Linked DNA regions of Tamandua tetradactyla. The protein of the gene in region 3 purifies or fractionates together with the protein of the main gene of each other region. This does not show direct contact. Links are inferred from orthologs where the notes say so. Each region holds a gene or a part of one and is shown on either strand. Other genes may lie near its edges. The genes, in order: PSME1, RAD23A, PSMD1 and PAAF1.

Region 1 (7,965 bases), on a different chromosome or scaffold from region 3:
CAGCACCACAGATTACAAAGCAGCCCTGGGACCAGACTAGCCCCTTAGAGCCCTTTTAGATCAGTCAGAAGCTGGGCCGGACCATGCCCCCAGGGTTCACAGTGCAGTGAAGTAGGCAGCCCTACTGAGCTGCCTCCCAGGGCCTGAGTTGGAGACAGTGCTGTGTACAACCACCTTGCAGCATCCTGACAGCATTGGGCTCTTGTACGCATAACCCCAGGAGAGGGGGCCAGGACTGCACTGACGATGAGGCAGACAGATTTTTTTCAGTGCCTTCTAAGGTTTGATCATGATCCTTGATGGAAGGGGGATTTGGGCTGACCAAACAGGCAGGCAGAACCAAGTAGGCTGTGGATAAGGATAACCCTGAATGGCAGGCCTGGCCCTGAGAGATGAACTAGAATATGATTGGAGCTGGGAACACAGACCTGTACGTCATGGGGACACCAGGGCTAACGGAAAAGGGCACAGGCGGCTGTCAGGACACAAGCTACCACACCAGAGACCAGGACCCTGCTGACGTGGCAGTCCTCTGCCCCAGCCTCACTTCCCCATTCCCCCATAACTCTGTTCCCTCCCCCCACCCCTCGCCCCTGCCTGTCAGCTGCTAACAGGGCTCTGCCCTGTGTCTGCCACACCTGTCACTGCCTGTCCGTGTCCGGGGGTGGGGGCCCCATCAGCCCCTCCTCAGCTGCCCGGCAGAGCAAGCAGTTAGTGGGGAGGGGAGGGAAGATGGAGCGGGGGCCAGCGGTGGGGGCAGGGCCAGGGCTGGCTGCCGGGACCCGGATCCGGGCACTGCTGGGCTGCCTGCTCAAGGTGTTGCTCTGGCTGGCCTCTGCCTTGCTATACTTTGGAAGTGAACAGGCTGCTCGCCTCCTGGGCAGTCCCTGCTTACGGCGCCTTTACCACGCCTGGCTAGCAGCAGTGGTCATCTTCGGTCCTCTTCTGCAGTTCCATGTCAACCCTCGGACTATCTTCGCCAGCCACGGCAACTTCTTTAACATGTGAGTCAACTCCAGGCTAAGGGAACCGGCTCCCTACACTCTGGGATTCGAGCTCCCTCCCCCAGGCCTCTGTCCTGCCAGCCTAAACACTAAAAATAGGCCAGGAGGTTGAAAAGAAGGTGGGCGGGGGGAGGGAACAGAGTTATGGGGGAATGGGGAAGTGAGGAGCAGGGCTGAAGGGGAAATGCGGATCCAAGAAGGCTAGGTGGTCCTCTAGGGAGATGGCAGCGTTTCAGTGGTCGGGGGTTGTGGAGGGCACGGGAAACAGAACCAGTGATGATGTGACACTGGACGCAGAATTGTGGATAAAGCAGAGATGGGGACACAGACCAGGGTGGGGAGATGCAGCTGGGGGGTCTCAGTGGTCTCCCCTCTTCTCTGCCCACAGAAAGTTTGTGAATTCAGCGTGGGGCTGGACGTGCACCTTTCTGGGGGGATTTGTGTTGCTGGTGGTGTTCCTGGCCACACGGCGTGTGGCGGTGACCGCCAGGCACCTGAGCCGACTGGTGGTGGGGGCAGCCGTGTGGCGGGGGGCCGGCCGGGCCTTCCTGCTCATCGAGGACCTGACGGGTTCCTGCTTCGAGCCTCTACCCCAGGGCCTGCTGCTCCACGAGCTGCCTGACCGCCGCAGCTGCCTGGCAGCCGGCCACCAGTGGCGGGGCTACACGGTCTCCTCCCACACCTTCCTGCTCACCTTCTGCTGCCTGCTCATGGCTGAGGAAGCAGCAGTGTTCGCCAAATACCTATCCCATGGGCTCCCGGCTGGTGCCCCACTGCGCCTTGTCTTCCTGCTCAACGTGCTGCTGCTGGGGCTCTGGAACTTCTTGCTGCTCTGTACCGTCATCTACTTCCACCAGTACACCCACAAGGTCGTGGGTGCCGCCGTGGGCACCTTTGCCTGGTACCTCACCTATGGCAGCTGGTATCATCAGCCCTGGTCCCCAGGGAGCCCAGGCCATGGGCTCTTCCCTCGTTCCCACTCCAGCCATAAGCACAACTGAAAGAAATAAAGGACAGCACGCCTGACTCTGGGTCCTCTCATCATTTGACCGGGGCTTGGGAGGGATGGGAAGGGTAGGACGACGGCCTGGCACCATTGGAATTCTTTAGGCATTCCTTGCTGGCACCATGAATGTTCCTTTTCCTGGGACATCCCTCCCACTGTCAGCCTCCTGACCCTCACAGAGCCATCTGGGGTTGGGATGTCAAGGAATGGTGCTGATAAGGCAGTTAACAGCGTCCTTGAGTGTGGGTATCATTTTGGGCTGAGCAGATGCTCCATCCCAGCCCCATCCCTTCCTGGCCCTGCCCCCCATACACTTACACACACACACACACACACACACACACACACACACACACACACACACACACACACACACACACACACACACACACTGAATCTCTCCTCTGACCTCCTCAGGACCTTGCTTCTCTGGGCACCCCACTCAGGGGCTCTTCCTCAAAGAGAGTCTGGGCGTGTTCATTCATTTAACAAATATTTATTGTGCCGAGCAACATTTCATGCTATGAGTGAGAGAGTTTCTGCTGTAGAGGAGCTTATGGGCTACAAGGAGAGGCAGATGACAAACACAAATAACAGCAAATGCATTGTGCTTCTGGACCAGCCAGACACCTGTCTAAGTTTATACATTCTTTATGTAAATTCACACATTTATTCCTCATCACAACACTTTGAAGTTTAGTAGTGTTCCCATTGTACAGTTGGGAAAACTGAGGCCCAGAGGTTAAGTAACTTATTACAAATTAGTAAATAGCAGAGCCAGGATTATTAGCCCAGAACTATATGGGCGTATTATCTATGTTCTAAACCTGAGGTTAGCAAAATATAGCCTGTTCATGGCCAGCTTTCTTGTGACCTGTGAGCTAAAAATGATTTATATATATATATTTTAATTTTTTAAAGTTAATTTTATTGAGACATAATTTACACACAATAAAATGCATCCATTTTAATTATATAAAGTTCTATGAGTTTACACACACACGTAACCACCACCACACTCAAGATACAGACGATTTCCATCACTTTCAGGAGTTCCTTCAGCAGTCACTCATTTTTCCTCTGATATTCTAGTAGTTGAATAAATTGAATATAAATTATTTACCCATTCTCGAATAAATATTTGGATTGTTTCCAAATTGGGCTTTTACAAATATTCTATGAACATTCAAATGAATGCTCCTAGAGATGCCTGGCGTATAACTAAGAATGGATTTATAAGATTTCTAGGACACACACCTTCTACTTCACTAGAAAATATCAAGTTGTTTTCCAAAGTGATTGTACCATTATGTATGTTAAATACACAGCGCAGGAGTTTTAGCTGGTCTACATTCTTGCCGACAGTCAATACTTTAATTTGGGCTAACCTGAGCGTAAGAATATTTTATTTCAATTTAAATATGTCTATCCATATGCATATGCAAGTGAGTATCTTTAATGTAGCTGCTGACCATTATAACTTTCTTTTTTGAAGTGCCTATTTTGCCATTTTTTCTATTTGGTTGCTTGTCTTTTTTTCATCGATTTGCTTTATACTCTGGATAATAATCCTATGTCTGAATAATAACTCTTCGTCAAGAATATTTGTTGCAGATAGATGGTCCCCGTTTTTGCTTAGTAATTTCATTTTTTATGATGTCATGATAAGCAGAAGTTAGTAATTTGAATATGGCTAGATTTATTAAATTTTTATCATTTGTATTTTTGCATTTTAAAAACTCATTGCCTTCCCAGTGCCTGCTCATGTTAAAAAAAAACCATTGCCTTCAAGTTCAAAAAGGAATCTCCATTCAGTTTGACAGGATTTATATTTTTTAATGGTTGGAAAAAATCAGAAGATTTCATGACATGAAAATTATATGAAATTCAAATTTCAGTGCTCAAAAATTAAAGTTCTACAGGAAACCAGTCATGCTATACGAATATTTAGGTATCGTTTATGACTGCTTTCCTGCTATGACAGCAGAGTTGACTAGTTGCAGGGACTGTATGTACTCACAAAGCCTAAAATATTTACTATCTGGCTCTTTACAGAATAAGTTTGCCAACTTCTGGTCTAAATCATTACAATATTCTGTTTCAAAAAATAAACTAGGTAATATCGGAGAGTTAAGTGCTGTGAAGAACTAAATCAGGCTGCTGTGTATTTAGAGTTGGAGGGAGGTACTTTAGAAAGGACGACTGAGAGTTCTCTCTAAGAGGTGACATTTGAGCCGAGAGCCCAGCGGCATCCCTAGCCAGGGAAAGGTTGTTTCAGGCAAAGGGATTAACAGAGGTAAAGGTCCTGAGGCAGGGATGAACATGACCCGTTTGAAAAGTGAGCAGAAAGGTCAAGTGTTTGCAAGTGTAATGAAGGAGGGGGAAACAGTGGGAAATGAAGCTTGAATGGGAGGACAGGTGCCAGGCAGGCCGGGCAGGGCCTTATGGATCAGGCAAGCCCTTTTGATTTCATTTTAAGGTCAACAGGAAGCTGTGAAAGAGTTTGAAGCCAGAGGAAGGCATGGTCCCTCTATTTTGTGGAGAGTGAGTTATAGAAGAATGGAGGCTGCAACAACAGTCCAGGAGAGTCCAGGGAGCTTGGATCAGGGTGGTGCCAGCGTCTGCATGTCTCTCACCGGCTAGAGGATGCCCACGCTGGCGGGACGAGCTCCCCCTCTGAGCCGCAGGTAAAGCTTATCACTGTGCCAGGCCGAGCAGGGGAGGAGAGCCGGTGAGGAGTGGGGAACCAGGAGCTGAGAAGTTAGGACGGCAGGGAGTCAAGAAGGTGGGGCGAGGTGGGGAGCCTAGGGCGGCGAGGAGGCGGGGATGCCAGGCCGAGAGGCGAGGAAGCAGGGAGGGCGGAGAGGCCGGGAGGCGGGAAGCGGGGCGTCGAGAGGCGGGGGATAGGGGGGCAAGAGGGCGGAGACAGGAGGCCGGCGGTCGAGAGGAGGGAGGGAGGTGGGAGACCGGCTGGGCGGGGGAGGTCGCTGGAAAGGCTCCTTTTGGGCTCTAGGGGGAGCCCCGCCTCGCTGCCTTCCTCCGCCCCTCCACCCCTCTCCTATCCCCGGCCTGTCCCGCCTCCTCCAGTACCTACACTCCCCGCTACCCAGGAAGGCCGGGCGGGTGGCGAGGGCTGCTTTCGCTTTTCCTTCTCCGTGCCCACTCCTCGCTCCTCGTGCGGCGCAAGGCGGCCCGCCGCGACCATGGCCACGCTCAGGGTCCAGCCTGAAGCCCAAGCCAAGGTGAGCGCTGCGGGTTCCAGCAAGGGCCCATTAGGGAGGCGTGGTGCGGAGAGGCTCCCTGATCTGCCCTCCCCCTCCAGCCCCGGACATGAAGAGGGGGGTCAGTCCACCAAGGCCACCTGTCTGGAGCACCTGAGCTCACGTGGAAACCGGAGAGGCTGCCTGCCGAGAGGCGAGGGGGCCGTGGTTCAGTGGGGTGAGGTGAAGCAGAGAGCTGGCGTGCAGGGGAAGTCCGCTGGCCTGGGGCCCTGGGCCACACACAGACAGGGTGTGGGGCCAGCAGTGCCACCTGATGGTCTTTCTCACAGAGGGCCCGGGACCCCCTCCATCCCTTCCCCAATCGCAGGGGGTTCTGTCCTACAAGTCCTCTGAACATGGCCTAACAACCCAGGGGATCTGCTCCCACATCAGCAACTCACCCTTCACCACCAGGAACGTTCTCAACTTCCAAATCCAGCCGCAGGGGAATCTACTTCTCTCTCTGGGGATCTACACTACTTTCCCCAAATCTAGACCCACAGAGATCCACTCCTGTACCACCCGGATCAAACCCCACAGAGATCCATCTCACTTTCTTCAAGTCTGGCCTTAGAGGGATTCACTCCACCCCTTCCCAGGTCCAGGCCCTACATAACCCTAAAGGAACTGTCCTCAAATACTGGCCTTCAAGTCAGGTTTCTGAGGGGTTGCCTGTGCTCCGCAGGTGGATGTGTTCCGTGAAGACCTGTGTACCAAGGTGAGACCTGCCCATCAGCCCTCCCTTGCCAGCCCTGCTCCACTGCTTAGGAAGGACATTGATTTTGACCCCATCCCCCCCCACCCCCACCTGCACACAGGCAGAAAACCTGCTTGGGAGCTATTTCCCCAAGAAGATTTCTGAGTTGGATGCATTTTTAAAGGTACTATGGCCAGGCATGGGGATAGAGAGTAGGGGCCAAGGGAAGAATTTGGGGGACTAGGAAAGTAAGGAGAGGACCCCCTTACCTTCAGCCCTTCTCCCACCCTGCACCAGGAGCCAGCTCTCAATGAAGCCAACCTGAGCAATCTAAAGGCTCCGTTGGACATCCCAGTGCCTGATCCAGTCAAGGAGAAAGAGAAAGAGGAACGGAAAAAACAGCAAGAGGCAAGCTCAGGAAAGCTGGGGGAGGGACCCACCCTAGAGGGAAATCATCCTTAAGCCTGACTTCCATAAGCCCTTCTCTCTCTCTGCAGAAGGAAGACAAAGAAGAAAAGAAGAAAGGGGAAGATGAAGACAAAGGTACCTGAAACCAGTCCAGTGGAAAGGATCTTAATTCCCACCCCCCAGGAGCTCCTCCCTAAGAGTTCCTCTTCCCTTCCCCACCCCTCACTCAGGCCTGATCATGTGACTGACTCATTGCCCATTCCCCAGGTCCTCCCTGTGGCCCAGTGAGCTGTAATGAGAAGATCGTGGTCCTCCTGCAGCGCCTGAAGCCTGAGATCAAGGATGTCATTGAACAGCTCAACCTCGTGAGCCCTCCCACGTCTACCCCCAGGCTGCAGATGGAACCCTTTGTCCTCCTTGGTCCCCGCCAGTTAGGGCACGTGGCACCTGCCAGGTCTTAGTAGGAGTGGGCACAGCAAGTGAAGCCAGAGCAGGCCCTGAGGCCCAGGATGGACTGGCTCACCCTCACCCACTGTGGGCAGGAAAGCAGGAGCGTGCAGGAGCCTGGGAATTGGGTGGGACAGGCTGTTATGAGTTTGACACAATTCCTTCCTCCCAGGTCACCACCTGGTTGCAGCTGCAGATACCTCGGATTGAGGACGGGAACAACTTTGGAGTGGCTGTCCAGGTGTGAGGGCTCCCCCACTCCCTGGTCCTCCTGTTCCCTCCGGTCCTTGCTTCCTTCTACTTTCCCCAATGCTTTCTTTCCCCAGGAGAAAGTGTTTGAGCTGATGACCACCCTTCACACCAAGCTGGAAGGCTTCCACACCCAAATCTCCAAGTGAGTGACCACCCACTCATACCCACACCCACAGGCACCCTCTGCCTTTGGTCTGGGTACAGAGGCCTGGGCTCATACTGCCTTCTCCCTCTCCTCACACCTCTCCCACTTCCACAGGTACTTCTTGGAGCGTGGTGATGCCGTGACCAAGGCAGCCAAGCAGCCCCATGTGGTAGGTGAGGCCCAGGCCAAGGTGCATGGAGGGAAGGACACACTGGAATGAAGTCAGGCCCTACCCTCAATTCTCCCTCAGGGGGATTATCGGCAGCTGGTGCACGAGTTGGATGAGGCAGAGTACCGGGACATCCGGCTCATGGTCATGGAGATCCGCAATGCTTATGTGAGGAGGGCAGGGCAGGGCCGGGCAGGGATGGGCAGAGACAGCTTTCCCAGGCTACCTATACCCTGACCGTGCAGGCTGTGGGTGAAGGGTACAAAGCTAAGCCTCTTCACAAGGCTGGAAATGAGGCACAGAGCTTCTGGGGGCCTCTGGCTGATACCCACTCCTCCCCTGGTCCTGTAGGCCGTGCTATATGACATCATCCTAAAGAACTTCGAGAAGCTCAAGAAGCCCAGAGGAGAAACAAAGGGAATGATCTACTGAGAGCCTCCTGCCTTTTACCAGGGACTCCAGACTTTCCCCCCACCTCATCCTGTTGAGGTTTCTCTCTCCTTTGCCTCCCAGGGAAAATAAATATAGTCATACCGGTCGCTGCCCATCAGCCCAAGTCTCTTTATTGGTTCCTGGT
Region 2 (6,938 bases), on a different chromosome or scaffold from region 3:
TGATCAACAAGGACATCCGTTGCAAGGTGTGTCTGAGGGGTGGGGTGGGGGTTGGTGGGGGGAAGGGCAGGAATCCGGGAGGGCGGGACTGCTCACCTCCCACCCTCCTCAGGATGATGAGTTCACACACCTGTACACACTCATCGTGCGGCCCGACAACACGTACGAGGTAAAGATCGACAACAGCCAGGTGGAGTCGGGCTCCCTGGAGGAGGACTGGGATTTCCTGCCCCCCAAGAAGATTAAAGATCCCGATGCCGCCAAGCCAGATGACTGGGATGAGCGGGCCAAGATTGATGACCCCACAGACTCCAAGCCCGAGGTTGGTGCCTGGACAGGGACCACCACTGTGAAAGGGGTGGTGGACATGTGGGCTCACTCTGATGTCCTCGTGGTTCCCCGACTCTCCCCCCCTAGGATTGGGATAAGCCTGAGCACATCCCCGACCCTGATGCAAAGAAGCCTGAGGACTGGGACGAAGAGATGGATGGAGAGTGGGAACCGCCAGTGATTCAGAACCCTGAGTACAAGGTGAGCTTGGGTTCCAAGTAAGGGCTGGGGTACAGGGTGGGGAGGGCACCGGCCTCTGTTCACCATGCCATTCTCTTCTTCCCCAGGGCGAGTGGAAGCCCCGACAGATCGACAACCCAGATTACAAAGGCAAGTGGATCCACCCAGAGATCGACAACCCTGAGTACTCCCCTGACGCCAACATCTACTCCTACGACAGCTTCGCTGTGCTGGGCCTGGACCTGTGGCAGGTGCGACCCAGAGTGGGAGGAGGATCCTGGGGGCACCTCAGGTCACCTGCGAGGGAAGGGACAGGGTAGGATTCAGACCCAGGCAGGCCCGACTGGAAAATGCTTTGAGAGCCCTGTTGCTGTGAGGCCCTTCCTGAACCTTTACAGTCCTAAAGGCACTTATTGAGTGCCAGGGCTCTCCCTGAGTACCTGTCATTCCCTCCACCAATCTCGGGGGTGGTCAAGCAGCCCTGTTAGAAAACTTTGCTTTGCTAGCAGTGGCAGAAATTTGAAGTCGCCAGCCTAAGGCCATACAGGCGGGAAGGGGCAGAGCTGGATTGGAACCCACCCCTTGTGGGTCTCGCAGCCCCCATTTTTTAACTGCAACTTTAGCTGTGCTGCTTGGTCCATGAGGTGCTTCTTGACTGCTGCAGAGATGCGGCGGCATCTAGTGGTTACAGGAGCACCGCGGGTGGGAGTTTTCCCAAGGCCAGGGCCGTCTTGGGTAACCCACTCCTCACTCCATTCACCCCCAGGTCAAGTCTGGCACCATCTTTGATAACTTCCTTATCACCAACGATGAGGCGTACGCCGAGGAGTTCGGCAACGAGACGTGGGGTGTCACGAAGGTAGGATCGGGCTCCCCCTACCCAGGTTTGAGGGAGCAGACGCAGGGCTGGCGAGTGGGGCCTGGGCACTGAGGCAAAGGCTCTGTCCCCCACAGGCTGCAGAAAAGCTCATGAAGGACAAGCAGGACGAGGAACAGAGGCTAAAGGAGGAGGAGGAGGAGAAGAAACACAAAGAGGAGGAGGAAGCGGAGGACAAGGAGGAAGAGGAGGACAAAGAGGAGGAGGAGGAGGAGGAGGAAGAGGACAAAGAAGAAGAGGAGGAAGATGCTGCCGCTGGCCAGACCAAGGACGAGCTGTAGAGGCCACGCCGCCCGCCTCCGGGGCTGGACTGAGGCCTGAGCGTGCCCGCCACAGCTGGCCGCTCCAAATAATGTCTCTATGAGACTGGAGAACTTCTCATTTTTTTCCAGGCGGGTTTGGATTTGGGGTGTGGTTTATTTTTTGTTGTTGTTGTTTTGTTTATTTTGTTCCCTCCCTGCCACCTCCCCCCAACCTTTTTTTTTTTTTTTTTTTTTTTTTTACCATGCCTTGTTTTTGATGCTCTCTACATCAGCCCCCACCCTTTGGCTTTCATCTTTTTTGATTGACATCTTTTCCTTCCTATGTCCTCTTCCTCTATCCTTTCATTTCCCTCCAGCCTGGGGGGAGGGGGTGGGCATGTGTGGAGAAGTGCCAGGTCTGAGATTCCATCTGCTCCCCTCCCTGTAGCAGGAGAAAGAGTGTGACATCCCCAGGCCCTCCAGCACTGAGGAAATTTGGGGCTCCTAAGACCGTCCCCCCAACCCTTTCCCCTTTTCCTCTGCTACTAGCACTGGGCCACTTCTGGGCGGGGCAGCGGGTTCCAGCTCAGCTCTCACAGAATGTAAAACTACAAACAAAATTTCTATTAAATTAAGTTTTGTGTCTCTCTTCGGTGTCTCCTTCTGGGAAGAGAGCAGAGATCCAGGGATCCAGAGATGGCATTTCTTGGGGAGGAGTGGCTCCTGAGTAAGGAGTTGTCTCAACATTTTTAGCTGCTAAGGAGACAAGGTTGCAGGGACCCTTGCTTGCCAGGCAATCCCAAACCAATAGGAGACTCAACTATTAAAAAGTATTCCATGTAACAACTCAATTCCTTGGACCAAACCTGAGTTTTGGTTCTAGTACCAGTTTGCTTTGATAGGTGAGGAGACTGTGGCACACAGAATTTAGTAATAGGGCTGGGTTTGAACCCACACCATAATCATCATAAGCTGAAAACAGTGGTTTGGCGCTTTAATAAACAGTTTTAATACCAGCCAGTGTGGTTAAAAGCTATCACTTCTTTTTATAATTGAATAAATAGGTTCAGAGATAAAACTTGACAAAGTTTCTCCCTATGATTTTCAGAGGCCAAGTTGGGATTTGAACTTGAAGGGCATGGACCAAAGGGAGAGGCTTGAGGTGGCATTGGGCCTCCGAAACTGACCTAGAACCCCCAACAGCTGTGCTGTCAGGGAAGTGAAAGTCCATTGAGCCGGTTGGAGAATAGGAGAAGGCCGGTGTTCCCTGTTGCAGAAGAAAAGGATAAGATGTCAGCTGGCCCTGGCCTGACCCTATTCTGGCCAATGCTGGTGGAACCTTATTGGCTCCAGTGAAGGGAGAAGCAGCAGGACCTGGTTACAGTTTGATGATGGCCATGAAGTGTCAGGTTTGGTTGAATAGCAAAAGGGGCAGCTTTGGAGGTATCTTGAGGTTGCAACTCTGTCTTCCACCTCCTGGTCTGCACTTGGGCCTTTTGCCCACTGATTGGGAGTTCAAGACCAGCTTTGTCTCTATCCAGCCCCCCAAAGCAACCGTCAGCTAAGGCAAACTGGTGCGCCTTGTTCCCTCCCTAAGTCCTTTGTATGTAGCCTGTGGCCCAGTTCAACCCCTCCTTTCTGGAAATCATGTCTTGTTCTCCAGGTGCCTCCAGGATTGCAGCACCTATGTACTCAGTGGAGAAAGGACTTGAAAACTGATGTCTTAAATATCTTGGGTTCCACTAGGGATAGTGTAGGGTTAACAAAGTTGCAGGGAAAGTAGCAGCAGAAAGGGGAGAGATCCCCCAAAAGGCAGATCCCCCTCAGCAATGAATGAATGAGGCCCCCAAAGAGGGTGTCCTGTTTCCACGCCCAGATGGATTTTTTTTAACTTTTTCATTTCTTGGTGATCTTCCAAGGATCCTTTCCAATCTCAAGTACCTTCCATATTCCTGGCCCCGCAGCCCGCCAGACCAAAATAATGTAAAACTCGTTTGTTAAGGGGAAAAATCCTAAAGATTTCACAGAAGAAATACAAATGTCTAATAAGTACGTGAAGAATTTTGCTCAACTTCAACAAATGAAAAAGCTCATTTGGGCGTGGAAGAGGGGACTCCGGGGCCATTTTGTGGTCGCATGACGTCACCGCTAGGGGCATGACGTCATTCACAGGAGCCACCTGACTGGCGTGTGCTCTGAGTTTGGAGCACTCCCCCGCTTCCCGCGGAAGCAAAGTTCAGTTTGCGCATGCCTGGCCCGAGAGGGCGCTGGTGCGCATGTCCACGAGGATCCGGAGGGGCGCGCGCCCCGTCTGCCCCGGAAGCGGTCGGCGCGCGGCGCGACTGGGCGCTAAGATGGCGGCGGCGTGAGTTGCATGTTGTGCGAGGATCCTGGGGCCGCCGCGTTGCTCGGGCCCCGCCATGGCCGTCACCATCACGCTCAAAACGCTGCAGCAGCAGACTTTCAAGATCCGCATGGAGCCTGACGAGACGGTGCGGGTCGGGTCGGGGCCTAGGGGCGGGAGCGACGGGTGCCGGGGCTTAGGGTGGGGGCGGGGAGACCGGGATCCTAGCGGGAGGGGCGGAGAGGACAGTGCTGGCCGGCCCTGTCCTCTCCCCCACTTGCTGGACTAACCCCGACGAACCTCCGCTGACGCGGTCTCAGACCGTGGTATCTGGGGTCGGTCTCCGGGCGAGGCCCCACCCCCGCGGCGCCCGCCAAGTTGCTACTCCAGTTCCAATGTCAGCGCCCTCACGGGGCGCGGGAGCTGCAGGCTCGGATTCCCAGTCAGACCACGCTCTCCTACACTGGTACTCTGCCTTCCCAGCACTGCAGGAGGCATTTCGGGAGGTTGGTGACCGAATCTGGGAGGGTTGACCCGGAGATGCCGACTGGTGCTGGCGACGATGACACTGATAATAAATGGTCGCAATCGTAATAGTTTCGGCGGTCCGAGTTTGTTGGCGGTTCATTGATTACCAGTTGTTGAGCGTTTCGGAAACCTTGTCTTACTAAATCTGCAAAACAGCCCTGTCGTTTTGGGGATTCTGACTCTCCCCATTTTACAGATGTGGAAACCCAGGAGTTAAAGAATTTTGCCATAGACACACACAGCAAGTAAGTGGCAGAGCTGGGATTCACATTTCGTTCTGCCTCATGTGAGAGTCCATGGTCTAAACATGATGCCCCGGTTTTAGCTGAAAGAAGATTTAGAAAACTCAAACATATTGAATGGGTAATTACATACCCAGCAGTTTTTGCACAACCACCCTGTGGAGGAGACACTGAAGTCCACTTTTTATAGAAAAGGACACAGACTGAGATTTTTTGAACAGCCCAAGGGTTTGATTTTGGCAAATTATTTAATTTCAGTTTTTTCAAACGGTAAATGTAGTTGATGTCACCTGTTTCATGCAGTTATCATGAGGCTTAGAAAGTGTGATACTACACATTTAGATTAGCACTGGCAACTTAGGAGGTTTTCAGTAAATATCAGCTACTTGTTGACCTTATTGTCCAAGGTCAGCCGCAAGGTATAGGTGACCCTCTTCTCTTTATTCTGTTTTTTTATTGTTGTAGTTTATATCATCTGAAGTGTATATTAGTGTCATGTCCGTGAGAACAGGGACTTGCGTTGGGTTTTGTTCCCTCCTGTGACCTCAGTTGTTTGTGATGTGCAGGCATTTGGTAGACACTCCACAGAGTGTCGGGATGATTGAAGGAATTCAACTCCAGCTTCTTTGTCATCAGTGCTTGCAGTCTCTCCTTTCCTAAACCAGAAGAGAAGAGGGAATCTTGGGTTTAGCAATGAGTGCCTGTACCTTTCCTTCCAGGTGAAAGTCCTAAAGGAGAAGATAGAAGCTGAGAAGGGTCGTGATGCCTTCCCTGTGGCTGGACAGAAGCTCATCTATGCTGGCAAAATCCTGAGTGATGATGTCCCCATCAGGGATTATCGTATTGATGAGAAGAACTTTGTGGTTGTCATGGTGACCAAGGTGCATAAAGGGTGCTACCTGGGAGGGCAGTTGGTTTAGCTGTGGAACTGGCTAAGGGCCCATGTGCCCAGGACAGATTAACCATAAACAGGGTGGGGCCACAATGGGACAGGATGTTGGGGCTTGATAGGGGTGCTGACACCCGCTCCCTTTCCCTGGCCGCCACAGGCCAAAGCTGGCTCAGGCACCTCGGCACCCCCAGAGACCTCCCCCACAGCTGCCCCGGAGTCCTCCACAGCTTTCCCACCAGCCCCTGCCTCCGGCATGTCCCATCCCCCACCAACCACCAGAGAGGACAAGAGCCCATCGGAGGAATCAGTCCTCACCACGTCCCCGGAATCCATATCAGGGTAAGGCAGGGGGCAGCTGCTCCGGCTTGGCCCCAGGTTTCCCAGCCCATTTTAGCGCCTGCATCTGTGGCCCCACACTCCTGGGTGGGGGAGGGCAGTATGCCAGAAGCCAGGGTCCGATTTCTCTCTCTTGAATTTGCAGCTCTGTTCCCTCTTCAGGTAGCAGCGGGCGAGAGGAAGACGCGGCCTCCACGCTAGGTGTGTGGGTGATCCCCAGGGTGGAGGCCACCAGGTTCCCCAGCCATTTGCTGGGCCTCATCTGGGTGTCGGAGAGCCTGGGCATGCCTTTCCCTCCCCCTGGTGACCCAGATTTTGCTGCTCCCTTCACAGTGACTGGCTCTGAGTATGAAACGATGCTGACAGAGATCATGTCCATGGGCTATGAGCGGGAGCGGGTTGTGGCTGCTCTAAGAGCCAGCTACAACAACCCCCACCGAGCTGTGGAGTATCTGCTCACGGTGAGGCAGGGCTGCCGCTTCCCCAAGGAGGTCTTGGGAAGAGGCAAAACCTGCTCCCAAAAGACTGGGTAGCAGGAAAGACTTCCTGCAGGAAGGTGGATGTGAGCTGTGGGGTGGGCCTAAGGAGGGCAGGGCCAAGGCCTCCCCCATCTCCTACCAGGGCAGGGCAGGGCATGCAATAGAGGGTGGCGGGAGGTCTGTGCATTAGAACTCAACAGGACCTCTGTCAGGGAATTCCTGGGAGCCCTGAACCAGAGCATGGCTCCATCCAGGAGAGCCAGGTGTCGGAGCAGCCCGCCACAGAAGCAGGTGAGGGACAGGAAAGAGGGTGGGGATGGGGTGGGGTGGTCTGCCCTCGTGGCACCTGAGCCAGCCCGTGGCTCCTGGGAGTCCTGCAAGGTCTCTGACTGCACCCCCTCCCACTGCTAGCAGGAGAGAACCCCCTGGAGTTCCTGCGGGACCAGCCGCAGTTCCAGAACATGCGGCAGGTGATTCAGCAGAACCCA
Region 3 (7,114 bases):
CCCCCAGCTGCCTCCCACCCCCAGCCCCTCGCCCAGACCTGGTGGTTCACCAAGCCATGGGGTAGGGGGACCCCAGTGGTTTCCAGCAGTCAGCTGGCCTGGTGCAGCCTCTAGTTGCTCTACTGGACGCCAAGAAGAGAGTCCAGCTTCTCCGATGGCTCCACGGACCTGTCCATGCCTCAGTGTATCCACATCAAAGCCAGCCGGCGCAGGCGTTATCCGCAGACCCGGCACTGGCTGGTATCAAAAATCTACCCCAACAAATAAATGCTTTTATTGTAAAAATGTACGAGGGCGTGTTGGAAGGGAGACAACGCCTCTGGGCTCGGCGCAGGCGGCCACGTGGGTCGGTTCCCCCGCAGGTCCCGGCGCGCGGACAGCCAAGTCCTCTCCCGCCACCAACAGAGGCGATCGGGCACGTTTCTAGATCTTTTCTAAGACGCGGCGATCTAGATGCCCCAGGCGGGAGGCTCGGCGGCGCTGTTGCCCTTTCCCGGCTCTCCGGCGTCTGAGGCGTTGGTGACCGCTAGAGGGCGCCGCGCGGGTCCCGGGGACGCCCGGAGGAGGGTGGGAACGGGCGCTCCCCCCCACTCCCACCCCGACAGAGCCCCCTGGCCCATCCACACCTGTTGAGGTCACTGGCCTGGCTTGGGCTGTCACCTGTTTTGCATGCCTTCTAAATTTGGGTGAAGGTTGCTAGGGCTTCACCAAGTTCTAAATCTCTTATGAAAAATGGGGTCTGTTTTAGAGTTTGGGATAGGGCAGAGGTTTCAAAGCCGTAGGTCAGCAAGGCCATGCGCTGTTCCCGGGTGGTGGCCTTCAGGTCTTCTGCCCTCCGCTACTCAGCCATCGCTCTCTCTTCTTAGGGTGCATCTGGCTGCTGCTGACGGCAACACTGTTTCCCCTTTGTATACAACCTCCAGCCACACCGGTTAAGACTCACCTAATTCAGCTTGGCCACACCTTAACAAACAATGACATCTGCAAAAGGACCTGTTTACAAACGGGAATGTGGATTAAGGTTTGAGCATGTCTTTTGTGGGGGGCACAATTCAATCCCCAACACTAACTAACCCTGGGCATTTATTTGTTCAATCAGCAAACATTGATTGGGCGTCTCCTATGTGCTGTGCCAAATTACAGGGAATCCCGAGATGAATATGCTGTGGCCTTGCCCTTGAGCAATTCCTTGTTCCATTTGTACAAGTACAGGGGATGTGGTTATGGCGGGGTGGGGTGAGGGCTTCAAGGTGCACGTGGTGAAGGGTGCGTCAAGGACGCCTTCCTGGAGGAGGTGCTGCTTGACTGGGACTCAAGTCATGGCGGCTGGGAGTGGGGGTGGGGGCTGGGAGATGAACAGAGAGCCCTGAGCTCAGAGGAGAGAGCAGGTGCCAAGTCAGAGGCAAGGCCCATGGCCACTCTGGGAGCCGCAGCACAGCAAGTTGGTTGGAGTGTGGCATGCCAGGCCAGAGGGGTGGCAGGCGATGACGGGGTGAGCAGGGTCAGGTGAAAGTCCCAAAAGAGCCACCGAAAAGAGAAGGTCCTGGTTTAACTTGTTTTGAATGGGGCATCTGGCCCCATGTGAAGAATGGTCTGGAGAATTGTGCAATGGTTATCAGTATTTCAAGTGTGCAGGACTAGATGAGAGGGAGCAACCCCAGGCAGGGGCGGGGGGCATTGAGGCAGCTATTGCAGCCAACCAGGCCAGAAATTAGAATCCCCAAGGAGAAAGGGGCCTGATGTATGTGGCCAAGCCAACTGGCTTTTGGCCATCTCACAGATTCTCCTGGGACTCAGTTGAAGTCATCACAAGCACAACATCCAAGCTGGTGACATGACTGTCCTTCCATAGAGAACATCTTGCCCATGAAAGATAGAGATGGTCAACTGGTCATCTGTCTGTTTTGAAGTAGTTGCAACATTTAAAAATCAGACTTTTTTTTTTTTTTTTTTTTTTTTTTGCGTGGGCAGGCACCAGGAAAAAAATCAGAAGATTTTACATGAAATTCAAATTTCTGCTTTTTCTTAAAAAAAACCATATGCTCTGGCAACAATAGCCCTGTTGCACATGGTGACACTGTAGGCACTGAGGAGGAGTGGCTGCTCTTTTAGAAGGTATACTTAACTCTTCATTTTATCACAGTCCCCACCACTCCCTATTGCCTCTCTAACATCAGCCTGCTGAGCTAGTAGTTTTTAACACTAGAGCAGCTTCACTCATTGCCATTACCTGTTGGCATTTGTTTATGACTCTTCTGGGGGCTTGGGGACACACATTATCTGTATGTGAGGGATCATTGGATGTACCTCTGTAAAATTTTACCCCAAATACTCCACCTGTTTATTTTCCATGAATATCTCTAGGTTTATGTGCAGGTTTGAGAGGGTAGATGTACCCTAGAAAAGCCATGTTTTAATCCTAATCCCATTTTGTAAAGGCAGCTGTTTCTTCTAATCCCTATTCAGTACTCTATGTTTGAATCTGTAATTACATCATTTCCCTGGAGATGTGACTCAATCAAGAGCAGTTGTTAAACTGGATTAGGGGGAGAGGTGTTTCCACCTATTTGGGTGGGTCTTGATTAGTTTATTGGAATCCTATAAAAGAGGAAACATTTTGGAGAAAGTGAGAGATTTGGAGAGAGCAGAGATGCTGCAGCACCATGAAGCAAAGAGCCCACCAGCCAGCAACCTTTGGAGATGAAGAAGGAAAACGCCTCGCGGGGAGCCTCATGAAACAGGAAGCCAGGAGAGAAAGCTAGCAGATGACACCGTGTTCGCTATGTGCCCTTCCAGATGAGAGAGGAACCCTGACCGTGTTCACCATGTGCCTTTCCAGATGAGAGAGAAACTCTGACTGTGTTCGCCTTGTGCCTTCTCACTTGAGAGAGAAACCCTTAACTTCATCAGCCTTCTTGAACCAAGGTATCTTTTCCTGGATGCCTCTGGACATTTCTATGGGTTGTTTTAATTGGGGTATTTTCTCGGCCTTAGAACTGTAAACTAGCAACTCATTAAATTCCCCCTTTTAAAAGCCACTGTTTCTGGTATATTGCATTCCAGCACCTGGCAAACTAGAACAGTTGGTTTTCCATCTAAGCCACAGGTTTTGAAAAATGTTTAATAATTATTTTTAAATGTTTAATAATTATATATTTTAACAAGTAAAGCTTAAGAACTCCCCCTCTTTTTTTGTAATTTCATACATCCTCAAGTGTGTCATCAGCCAAAGTTTAATTCATTGGCAACCATGAAACAATGATGTGTGCCACTAGATTAGCTTGTTTTGAGAAGCCTCAGAAATAAACTTTATCATCTCTAGTTGAAGGGTAACCTGATAGTGAAAAACTAGCTTTGCCATTGCTTATCTTTGTCAAGACTTTCTCAGTACTGACTATTAAATTAATTTGGCAATTGAAGCTGGGATGAGACTGCAAATGGCAATCGGTAACTGCCGTGTTAAATTTCTAAAGATATATTAGGAATCAATAATCCTTGCTATGGGTGCAGAGAGGAATTGGGCAGATGGGAAGCAAGGATGGAGACTTTTTTTTCCTTTGGAAGATTTTTCACTGTATATCCTTTTGTACATCTGTTTTTTAATCATGTAAATGTACATCACTAACTATTCAAAAGTAAATAAAAATCTTCATTGTTCAACTTTATAATAAACCAATGATTAATTATTAATCCTAATAAAGCACTTCTAAGAAGTTTTCTTTTGAAGACGGGCTCAGCTAAAACTAAAAATCGAAAATCACTTTTCTATTAAATGTTCTTTCCTCCCCCAAAGGGTCTGCAGTGAGACCTCCCGCCCAAGAGGTGGCGCGGCGCGCATCTGTTGCACCTTCCTTCTACATCTTGTCAGCAATGGCGGGTGATAGCGGGGGGCCTCTCTTCAGGGCTGGCCATGCTGCGGCCTGATCCCAAGTGTCGATGAAGCCTGGATGCGCTGGAGCTCTGGCCTCGAGAAGGGTTGATGAAAATAATATAGCTATACATACATCCTTCTGTATGAGCCAGAGCCACGGTAGCGGAGCGGAAAATGCAGGCCGGAGGGAAAATGAGCGCCTACCGACAGGCGGGGCTGCAGGCAGCTACGGAGCAAGCGGGGTCCTGGGCGAGGAGTGAGCCGGCGGCCTTTGGAGACAACTGACTGAGTAGCTAATCCCGGGAACGGGCAGTTGCGGCGGAGTGTACCGGCCCTGAGCTGACAGATACTCGGCGCGGCGAGGACGGCCAGTGAGCCGGCGGGCGAGTGCAGGGCGCAGCCATGATCACTTCAGCGGGTAAGTGTGGCCCGGAGCCGGCAGCGAAAGGGAGGAGCTGCCGCCTCGCCGGCTTTTAGCTGAGTCAGGGCCAGTGACTGGGCGCCTCCCGGCGAAGCGCCGGCCTGTGCGGCCCCTCGCTGCTCAAAGCTCATCCCCGGGAGGGCGGCTGGGACCTTGACGGGACCTTTTTTGCTGGCCTGCGACTCTCTCGCCTGAGAGGGATCGTACCCGGTCGACCGCTTTGGCGTCCCTCCCAGCCACACCCCCGTGTCCCTTCTGGAGGGGCTTTCCTTTCTTTTTTTCCTCCTGCTTTCGGCCGGGTGGGCTGTCGAATCCCTAGCCTCCCACGCAGGTGTTGGTAGGGATGCGGTTCTCTGTGCCGTCGCCTTGTGAAGCAGCCTCTGGGCGGGCAGTCGAACTGTTTCTAAGCGCGGAGGTCACTCCTAGTGAAATTTGACATGGTTTGAAGTGGATAATTTCTGGATCTACTCCGAGGGGATTCAGCTAAAACACTCAGAAAACATTTGCGTTCGGCAGTAGCACGCGGAGACTCACCTGTTTGAGGCCAGATGCTTAGTAGTAAATACTGCACATTCAGAAAAAACTGTGGTTCAGGTTTCATGCTTATGAACTTGCACCTCTTTCCCATAAGTTTTTTTCCGGTTAAACTTTGCATAAATAGAAGTCATGTAATGACATTTGAAATGGGATAACATAGAAAACAAGTTTTGAACGGAGATCTAAACCCCAGATAGAGACTGGGATTTATAGTTACAGAGCCAGCTATAGACTGATTTACATGTAGTTGTCCGCAACTCTGGTGCTTTTTTTTTTTCTGCCTGCTCAAACACCCTCTTCTCCTCCGGTTTTGCTCTACACTTGTCCCACAAGTATTTTGTTGTAAATAAGCTGGTGATCAGAAAATAACGTATATGGTAAAGAGCTCAAAACCATGTTCTTATGAGGACTGGTTAAAGAAGCTCTAGAGATGTCGGGAGACGGTATAGTTCTTTTCAAAGATTTGAAGGACTGTCACCTGTACTTGGAATTAGACTTTTGCCTTGGAGGAATGCCAATGATTGATTGGGACATCAATTTTAGTTCAACATAAGAGCTTTTCTAGTCAGAACTGTCTAAAGTTAAAACAATCACTAACTTTCTGGCTACCCCTAAATGGAGGCCTCATTCTATATCAAATCCATCCATTACCTCTGCTTCTAGCTTAGCCCAAACCACCTTCATCTCTTGCCTGGGTTACTATAACAACCTTAAGAAGACTTTGTTTTTCCACTGTTACTTCCATACAGTCTCTTTATCCTGTAGCCAGAGTATTCATTTTAAAACTTTAATCGCATCATATCATTGTTTTGCTTAAAATTCTCCAGTGACTTTCTATTGCGTTTAGAATAAAATTCAGACTCTTGACCAAAGACCTACGTATTCCGATTCCTACCTCATCTCATACTACTCTGTTCCTTTCTCACTACAGCTCATCACATGGGCCTTCTTTATGTTTCTCGAAAATGTCCATTTCTTTCCTACCTCAGGACCCTTGCACATTCTGTTTTGTCTAACTTGACTCCTCTTTTCTCAAGTTTTCCTTTAGTTTCTCAGTGTTTAGTCTCAGCGCAAATGTTAGTTGCTTCTGACCATCCTATTAAAACATGCTTCCTATCTTCCCACTAATTGACTTATCCATCACAATCCTATAATTACCTTGTTTCCTGATTACTATCTTTTTCCACCTGGTAGAATTTTCATGAGGAAACTTGTCATTTTTACAATTCCTACTATACTGCCTGACACATGGCAAAAGTTTTTAAAAAAACTATATCTTGAATGAAGCAGTTAAATTAGTAAATCAATCACTACAGATTTTTATGGAGGGGCTGAAAAAGGACTTATTGGGACTATAATAGAATTAAAACCTCCTGAGGGTAGTGGGACTAATGATTTTCCAGGTCCTCTCCTGAGATTCTGTGATGTTAATGTAATGTTTACATATTATTTACTATTTGTTAAATTTACTAGATTACCTGTCACCATCTGCTCCAAACCTTTTATCATTTTGTTTCCTGACCTCTGGTTCACATTGGCCTAGGACCTGTCCTAGGTGTTAAAGAGTCCAGTGACATGGTTCTGTGTTTATTAGTCAGGTTATTTATTCATTTATTCACTGTGTATTGAGTACTTTCTAGGTAGGCAGTGGTGAATAAGAAGACAGCATGCTCTGTTAATTCTTTCCAGAAGTTTTAGGTGGTAGAGAGCTAGAGATAGGTAGTTGCTGGAGGAGATGTGCATTTTTTTTTTAAACATAACATGGGCACATAAAGGTAAATAGTGCTAAAAAGCTATAACATAGTAGTCTCCCATCCTCTTTCTGATCCCTAGAGGTAGCTCTTTCAGTTTGCTAAAACTGCTGGAATGCAATATACAGAAATGGATTGGCTTTTATAATGGGGATTTATTAGGTTACAAATTTAGAGTTATAAGGCCATGAAAATGTCCAAATTAAGGCATCCAAATAAAGATACCTTGACTCTGAATGCATCCAGGGTTCTTGTCTTCCATGGGAAGGCACTTGACAATGTCTGCTGGCCCTTTTCTCTGAAACGTCTCTGCACTTCTCTGTGTTCTTGCTTGTTCCTTCCTTGGTGTTTCTCTCTGAGTTCTCTCCAAAATGTCTCTGCCTTTTATACTCTCATAAAGGACTCCAGTAAAGACGATTCAGACCCACCTTGAATTGGATGGGCCACATCTCCATGGAAATAACCTAATCAGAAAGTCCCAACCAACAAAAGGTCTGTACCCACAAGAAAATTAGAAAAACATGACTTTCCTGG
Region 4 (7,539 bases), on a different chromosome or scaffold from region 3:
TTATTTTTTTCCCTGTGTTCGTTTTCTTTCTTTTTCTATTGTCTTTTTCTTTTTCTGAATTAATGCAAATGTTCTAAGAAATGATGAATATGCAACTAAGTGATGATATTGTGAATTATGGATTATGTAGTTTTATTTTTTAATTAATAAATTAAAAAAAAATGATCATGGTGATGAATACACAACTATGTGATGACATTGTGAGCCACTGATGGTAACCATGTCAAGAATGTTTGTATGTCAAGAACATTTGTATGTTTGTTTGTTGTTTACAATTAAAAGAAATATATATATATATATAAAAGAAAAAAAAAGTATTTGCAAAGTCCTTTTGAAGGACTAGGGAGAAAGAAGGAAATATTTAACTTCCCCATCTGTGGAACTCATAAGATTCTTACAAGCAGCAGGGATATCCAGTTCAATAGGCTGAGCCTCAATTTTGGGGTTCGCCCCTATGAAACTTATTCCTGCAAAGGATAGGCTAAGCCTACTTATAATTATGCCTAAAAGTCACCCCCAGAGAACCTCTTTTGTTGCTCAGATGTAACCTTTTTCTCTAAGCCAACTTGGCGGGATACTTTATTTAAATATGCCTATTGTTAAGCTAACTAAGATAATCCATTTTTGGTGGTTCTAAATGTATTGCTTCCTTAAATAAAAAATAAAAATAAAAAAAAAAAAAGGATTCCTGAAAGAGGAATTACTGTTTAAATATTTTAAATATTACCCTTCAAAAGTTTTACTAATTTATGATCCTTTCAATAGCGTGAATATTATTATTTATTCTGGATGGTAATCCTTTGTGTTACATGTTAGAAATAGGTAATGTCCACTTGAAGTCTTGAAAAGTTCTACTCAACTCCGCCTCTCAGACCTTTGCTGACAGCTCCAGTCCACACTGCTTGCTCCTTCTAACGACCCACAGCACTGAGCCTATATGGTCTCGTAGAGATTCAACTTTATATATGTACCCATTCATCCCACTATAAGCTTGAAGGTGGAAATAGGATTTTATTGTTCTTTTGACTGCTTCTCCTATTATCATCTTTTCTTCTTCCCCAAAATACCAACACAAGGTTCAGAGTAGGTTTAGGTAGACCTATTATACTTTGGACTTGGATTTCTAATATATAGGTGCCCAAGAAATGTTTGCTACTTATGATGTGAGCATATGACCCTCTTTTCATATCAGCTTCTGTGGCATTCCACTCCATGCCTTAAAGGGCTAAGCAGGAAGTAAGTGAATGTTTTTTCATGGAAGAAAAATGAGAAGTTGTAGCAACTCTTATGAAATAGAGAACACAGCACCCCAGAAAGGAGACACTGTAATCCAGATTTACCAAATTATTGCCAAGTGGGAAAACAAACTCCATGTTGACAGATTTTCCATTTTTCAAAAGCTGAGAAGTCTGCATTTTAATGTTAATGATAATTTATAAGTGTTAGGCCAATGTTGTGTTTTTGGGGGTTGGGATTTGTTGAGGCCACATTCTGTATCTGATTAATTCAGAGGTCTGGCATATAACAGGTATTCAGTGTTTGCTGAAAGAAGTCTTCCACTGCTTTCTTTCTCCCTTTAGACCAGATGAAGCATTCAGAACAACTGATGAAAGCTAAAGGCAGTTATGTCATTGTCATGAATTTGTTAGCTTTTCCAGTATTGTTTTATTTTTCTCTCAAACTGGACTCTAAGCAGCATGAATGCAGTGTTATTTTATTTCTTTCAAACTAGACCCTAAGCAGCATGATCTTGTTATTTATCACATCAGCTTCTAGCACATGTGCCAACACATGTGCCTGGCACATGTGAAGAGTCTCAGAACAATTTCCTTTTGTTACATCAATGACTGAATAAACAAAGATCTGATCAGGCCACCAATTTACCTTTAGATGTGAATTTACATTTAAAATTAAAAAAGTCTATGTAATCAGCTCTTTCCACACTGACTCAGATCTGGGGTAGCGGGGCACCCTTAACTCATTTTACACGGCAGTACTGGTGGAACAAGATGGGTAAGATGTGTGGGATCTGACTATGAAAACATGACAGTTATGTCCAAATTCATGGCTATCTGGCTCTCAACCCGTCCTAAAGGGTATCCCCAAGTTTTAGATCTCAGGGCCCACACTTCCACCATTTAGGATTTCTTCCTATGATCTCTGGGTGCTGCTTTCTTCAGGGCCATCCTCTGGGGATAGGTAGCTTGGGATGTCAGTGGTGGGCACTGGTTTGTTCTTTCTTCCTCTGCAACTCCTCCCGCCGCCTTGCCTGCTGTTCACTCATACAGTCCCTGAAGGCTCGCACCTCTGGCTGGCACTGCCGCCAGTCCTGGTGCTGGGCCATGCACTCCTGCACTGCATAGTGGGAGGCAGCACAGCCAGAGCGGGAGATGAGCTGATCCAGCGGGTCCTCTTCATCCTCCTTCTTCACTTTCTGAGCCCAAGTATGGCCATTAGGGACTGAGGTTGACATCTTGGGGAGACTCTAGAGCATCAATGGAGGCAAGGTTAAAGCAGGTATATGATTTATACATGGTTCCTCTTTTATAAATAGTACTTACCAAATCACACTGTTACAGCCTGTCTTTCTCTGCTAGACTGTATGTTCTTTGAGGACAGACAGTGGGCCTGATTCTCCTTGCTGCCCTTAGCACTACCTAGCACTAGGCCTGGCGGAGAACAGGCTTGCAAAATGGTTTGAACTGGACTGAAAGAGATAAGGTATGTGAGAACACTTAACACAGCAAATGGCACTAGATATGCTCAATGGATTCTACTAATAGAATAGGTGCTCGATGAAATGTCACCTTTTTGGAGAAGCTATCTCTAAAATTCACCCCAACAGAATTAATCTCTTTTGTTTTCTACTATTGGCCTTATATGCCTGGAGAAGAACAGAATTTAATATTGGGGAGAATACCTAAATATGGGTAGGGTTGATACATGAGAGGAATGGAGAGAATTTAATGTGGCTACAGCATACAATATGCTGGGAGCAGAGCAAGAGTTGAGTCTGTGAGGGAGAGCGCTTTGTCAACTATACAAAAATGTGAGGTATTTGCCCACTATCTTTTAAAGATTACCTGCCTCAGAGTACTCATATGGAAAGAACTTTAGAAAAGAGTGAGAAAAAATGACATCAGACTTGGTACAAATTTCACCAAGAAAGGCTGTAATGGAGCTAGGAAACCTTAATGTCTTTCCTGTGTCTCTGACTCACTAAACAAATAATCACTGAGTCCCTCTAGTACCAGCACTATGCTAGAGCTGATGATCAGGAGTGACTAAGACAATCCATGCGTACATGAAGTTTACAACATAGTCAAACGATAGTTTATTATACAGTGTGACTAAGACCGGCAAGACAGAAGAGGGCTACATACTCAGACAAAGGTAGGAATAGGCTGGGAAGGTTTCCTGGAGGAAGTGATTCTGAGCTAAGCCTTGAAGGATGAATTGCCTTGAAAACATGAATGAGTTACCCATGGATGGGGAGGAAGAATATTCCTGGCCAAGGGAAAAGCATGTCCAGGCACAAGAGTGGAGAAAGATTCAACACATAAGAAAATAGAAAGTTCATTCTGACTGGAGTATAGAGTATGGGGAGAATAGGGCAACAACAACAACAAAAAACTGGAGTGCTGAGATATGTCATCATGGCAGGACCTTGCAGGCCTTGTAAAGTAGTTTACTTTTTATCCTGAAGGAATGGGGAAGTCATGAGAGGGATTTCAGGGCTCTTTGGCCCTACACAAAACTCTTGCTTTGAAAAACACTATAATCTTAAGAGGGTTGTTGGAAAATGGGCTTTGAAAACAGACTTGAGTTGGAAATCCAGTTTTGTCAGACTCACTGGGTGATCTTGGGCAAGCTTAATCTCTCATGAAAAATAGAAGTAAATAATTTCCACTTTGCAGGATTGTTGAAGACTAAATGAGCTAATGCACGTAAGGAATCTGACACTTCCAGAGTTCAATAAATGATGGTTCCTATGGCATGTTTCCTCTTCCTAACCACACTGACTTCTTCAAAGGCAACAGACAAATCTTTTAGATTATGCACATGGGGCAGTGCCCTAGATCCTAAGCCAAGAAAGAGATCTGGGTTCCAATCCTAATACCACGCCTCACATGTAACTTTTTAGTTTTGTTTCCTTGTTAATAACATTCAATTGCAGGATTAAAGTGAAGAATAATATAATAATTGGTGAAAAAATGCATGGACTACAACAGGGACTCAGTAAATACTACCGTACTCTTCCCCCATTATTTCCCGGCTTCAGTGTCCCCAGGAGTAAAATGAGGAAGACCCTTGTTCTTAAATCAGAACGTCGGCAGCCAGACTGTGCAGGGCGATTTGGAAAAGGAAGGCACGGAAAAAATGGGAAGACACAGAAATCCAAGTGGCCAGGTAACCTAAGGCTCCTCCCCACTTTAAGGAGAGGAAGCGTGCCGTCAGTCCCCGCACGCCACCCGGCACGTCACACCATGCTCACCCGGTAGGGACACAGAGGACCTGAACGCGCGCTCCTGCGTGGCGCGTCGATTTTGCAGCGACAGTCTGGATAGCAGCTAGGCTCTTTCTTCGCTCCTCTCAAACACCGGCCCCTCCAGCCAGGCCTGGGCACGCATAGGAAGGGATGGGGCACCGCGTATTTTCATTGGTGGTCTCTTAGTGTAGCTCCCGCCCTCCGCTTTCTCCTCAGCCTGTCCTGGGGAGCCACTTCCGGGAAAGAGCCGAGCAGGTGGAAGAGGCCGGCTGGTGGAGGTGGGGTCAACATGGCGGCGCCTTTGAGACTTCAGAGCGACTGGGCTAAGGCCCTCAGGTGAATCCAAGCCCAGAACGAGGTGGGAGGAGGCGGGGAGCGGATGTTGCCCTTGCATCAAGGAGAGCCATGCCCGGTCCAGCGTATCCCTAGTGGATGCCTCATCAACTGTAGAGAGAGCTGGAGGAGACTGGATCTAGAAAAGATGTTTCAAATCCACATAGTCATTGATTTTTACTCTCTGAAGAGCTGTCTTGAGGCCAAACGGACGGACGCTGTGTGACCCCAGCGTCAGAACTTGATCATTGAGTTGTAGAAAGACAGGAAAACTGGGAGGCAGGAAGACTCTTGGCCCAGGTGTCATTTAGCAAAGATTTATGGGTAATCAACTGTTTGCAAAAATTCCAGTATCCACCACCACACCACATGATCTTTGCGTGATAAAATCTTTGTATCTTCCTCAGTGCCTGACGGTATATTAGGCATATTGACAGTTCTATTCAGGAGACAGTGTAACATCTACAATTCAGGCCCACTACTACATTCTAGGTGGAGTTTAGAAATGTACTCTGAGTTTCAGGGGTGGATCCTGCCCTCAAAAAGTTAATCATGTAATTTGGGAAAGCAATTTGTTCACCACAAACTGTTCATTTAACATATATTTTTTGATTATGTACTAAGCACCAGGATGAGTCAGCAGTGCAACAAATGGTAACTCTTCCCTCAAGAACCAGTCAGTGTAATTGGGAATACCCAACAAACCATTTATTCATTTAACATATTTATTGATCTTCTGTATGCCAGTTATTTCTCTAGGCACCAGGATAGGTATGGCAGTGTAATAAATGCAACTGTTATTACTACTAAGGTTTTTCAAATGGAAGCAAAGATAAAGATGAATAAAGCATACTTTCACCTTGCTAAGTGGATTACTGATGTACAGATTACTTAGTGCATCACAGAATGTGTGGTAAAGTAATAAAGGATGAATACTAACATTTACTTAGTGCCACTATGTGCTTATAAGAAAATGAAGAGTCAGAATCTGAGAAATAACTTGTCAAAGATCATGCTGCTGAATAAGTAACAGTGGAGTGCTGTCAACCTAGATCTTTCTTTCTTAAAAGCTTAGGCCCTTTCCACTATAACCTGAAAGTGTAGGGTAAAGAGATCAGAATTTGAGATGATTGTAGAGGTGCATACTAAAACATGTAAAAAACAGTGTGAGGTGTACCAGCACCAGGTCTCAATTCCTGCTTCATAGATAGGTGACCTTGAACAAGGGATTCTTATCTGAGTTTCAGTTTCTCTCTTTAACATGGGATAATAAATGGTTTCTTGCTCTCTTGTTATGAGGATTAATGGTACTATATGCAAAATGCCTAGCACAGGACCTGGTTTACAATTATCCCAGTAAATATCTAAATATAAAATAACTTTGATTTTTCAAAGCTGTGCAGCAGCAAAGAAGTAGTGAACTCCCTAACAATTGAAGTATTTGAACATTCATTTAACCAGTCGATATCTATTCATCAAATACCTAATCCACAAATACTTCAACAAATAAAATTCCACTGTCTTAGAATAATCTGTGCTGTACTAGATCATGTCTATATGGCCTTTCTCCCTAGAGATATGACCTTTCTCTTTCTGCATCACTGGCATCCGTTTCAACTTTTGGTGACTCTAATTAGGCTTTTGTCTCTCTTCAATAGGAAGGATGAAGGGGAGGCCTGGCTGAGCTGTCATCCCCCAGGTAATGTCCATAAGTCTGTATACCTTCCTTTTAGAGAAGAAGGATGTACTACCCATAGACAAGAGCTTCCTACTTTCTCCTGGCTCATCCTTCTTGCACAATACTCATAGTCCTAAATTGTGCTTGAACAGCCTGCTGTACTGAGTGGTTTAAATTAGATAAGTTGTCATCAGCATGTAGATTTTGCTTCGCTTTGAATGTAGATGAAACTGTCCAGAAAGCATGTGAAAGAGAAGGAAAAAGAGACCCATGGCAAGGCCCAGAGAAGAGGCTGTTTAGGAGAATACCAAATGAAGATAATAGCAGAAAAACTAAGATGTGATAAAAGAGATAAAAGAATATGGAATATATGGTACTGTGGAGGTCTAGGAAAGCCTTAGGAAATATCAATGAAAGATTGTTCCAAGGTCAAATAGAATCTGAAAGTAAAGATGGCTGCATAGGATGGCTACTTAGGGAAATCTCCATCGATAATAACCATAATAATGATAATCTTACTAACCTCAAAGTGAAAGATACAATTAAAGATTTAGGTAATAGTGGACTCAAATTTTTTTTTTTTGTCTCCCATTTTATCACCCAGTTTTGCTTTCACAGGATTTACCACAATATGAAATTGTATTTTTTTCTCTCCCTTTCCCTACCCATTTTCTCTTTGCCACAGGATGAGACTTATCCATCTTACTCACCCTCTATGCCTCTAGATTCTGTTACATACATAAAATTTAGATACATAAACTAGACTACAATCATTTCTCCAATTACATGTGATCATTCGGTGATATTCACAGCATCTGCTTTTCTGTCCTTAATGCATAAATGTTGCTTTATTCAGACCTAGGATTTCATGAAGTAAATCTAAAAATTTATTTCTATTCACTTATCTCTCATCCTCCCCCAATATAGAATGAGGGGGGGAAATCTGTGCATTATTCGCTATTTATTAGAGTTGTTCCCAGGTTACAATGAGAAAGCACTCAGAAAAATATATAGCTAGGCAGTATTATTGCTTCTTATG

What was found.
Region 1: the proteins of PSMD1 (region 3) and PSME1 fractionate together in Homo sapiens (co-fractionation; 3 studies listed by BioGRID, with this or other methods). This does not show direct contact. The link is inferred for Tamandua tetradactyla from reciprocal best matches to the Homo sapiens genes PSMD1 and PSME1.
Region 2: the proteins of PSMD1 (region 3) and RAD23A purify together in Homo sapiens (affinity purification with western blotting; 4 studies listed by BioGRID and IntAct, with this or other methods). This does not show direct contact. The link is inferred for Tamandua tetradactyla from reciprocal best matches to the Homo sapiens genes PSMD1 and RAD23A.
Region 4: the proteins of PSMD1 (region 3) and PAAF1 purify together in Homo sapiens (affinity purification with mass spectrometry; 3 studies listed by BioGRID and IntAct, with this or other methods). This does not show direct contact. The link is inferred for Tamandua tetradactyla from reciprocal best matches to the Homo sapiens genes PSMD1 and PAAF1.

The regions. Positions count from the first base shown.
Region 1 is NC_135340.1:30,655,837-30,663,801, reverse strand, and holds PSME1 (proteasome activator complex subunit 1), read left to right. Parts: upstream 1-4,962; 5' UTR 4,963-5,213; coding exon 5,214-5,252; intron 5,253-5,955; coding exon 5,956-5,988; intron 5,989-6,088; coding exon 6,089-6,151; intron 6,152-6,264; coding exon 6,265-6,375; intron 6,376-6,464; coding exon 6,465-6,510; intron 6,511-6,642; coding exon 6,643-6,740; intron 6,741-6,994; coding exon 6,995-7,063; intron 7,064-7,148; coding exon 7,149-7,216; intron 7,217-7,333; coding exon 7,334-7,388; exon of another isoform or gene 7,389-7,392; intron 7,393-7,469; coding exon 7,470-7,556; intron 7,557-7,739; coding exon 7,740-7,820; 3' UTR 7,821-7,938; downstream 7,939-7,965. Other genes in the region: FITM1 (fat storage-inducing transmembrane protein 1), read left to right, coding at 733-1,004, 1,393-2,005. UniProt on the Homo sapiens protein: Implicated in immunoproteasome assembly and required for efficient antigen processing. The PA28 activator complex enhances the generation of class I binding peptides by altering the cleavage pattern of the proteasome.
Region 2 is NC_135337.1:89,717,495-89,724,432, reverse strand, and holds the start of RAD23A (UV excision repair protein RAD23 homolog A), read left to right. Parts: upstream 1-3,938; 5' UTR 3,939-4,049; coding exon 4,050-4,121; intron 4,122-5,462; coding exon 5,463-5,624; intron 5,625-5,792; coding exon 5,793-5,974; intron 5,975-6,116; coding exon 6,117-6,172; intron 6,173-6,304; coding exon 6,305-6,432; intron 6,433-6,662; coding exon 6,663-6,741; intron 6,742-6,861; coding exon 6,862-6,938. Other genes in the region: CALR (calreticulin), read left to right, coding at 1-26, 113-322, 418-531, 618-761, 1,277-1,369, 1,465-1,668. UniProt on the Homo sapiens protein: Multiubiquitin chain receptor involved in modulation of proteasomal degradation. Binds to 'Lys-48'-linked polyubiquitin chains in a length-dependent manner and with a lower affinity to 'Lys-63'-linked polyubiquitin chains.
Region 3 is NC_135329.1:207,000,412-207,007,525, forward strand, and holds the start of PSMD1 (26S proteasome non-ATPase regulatory subunit 1), read left to right. Parts: upstream 1-4,106; 5' UTR 4,107-4,273; coding exon 4,274-4,289; intron 4,290-7,114.
Region 4 is NC_135334.1:72,048,448-72,055,986, reverse strand, and holds the start of PAAF1 (proteasomal ATPase-associated factor 1), read left to right. Parts: upstream 1-4,537; 5' UTR 4,538-4,778; coding exon 4,779-4,825; exon of another isoform or gene 4,826-5,129; intron 5,130-6,480; coding exon 6,481-6,521; intron 6,522-7,539. Other genes in the region: COA4 (cytochrome c oxidase assembly factor 4 homolog, mitochondrial), read right to left, coding at 2,213-2,473. UniProt on the Homo sapiens protein: Inhibits proteasome 26S assembly and proteolytic activity by impairing the association of the 19S regulatory complex with the 20S core.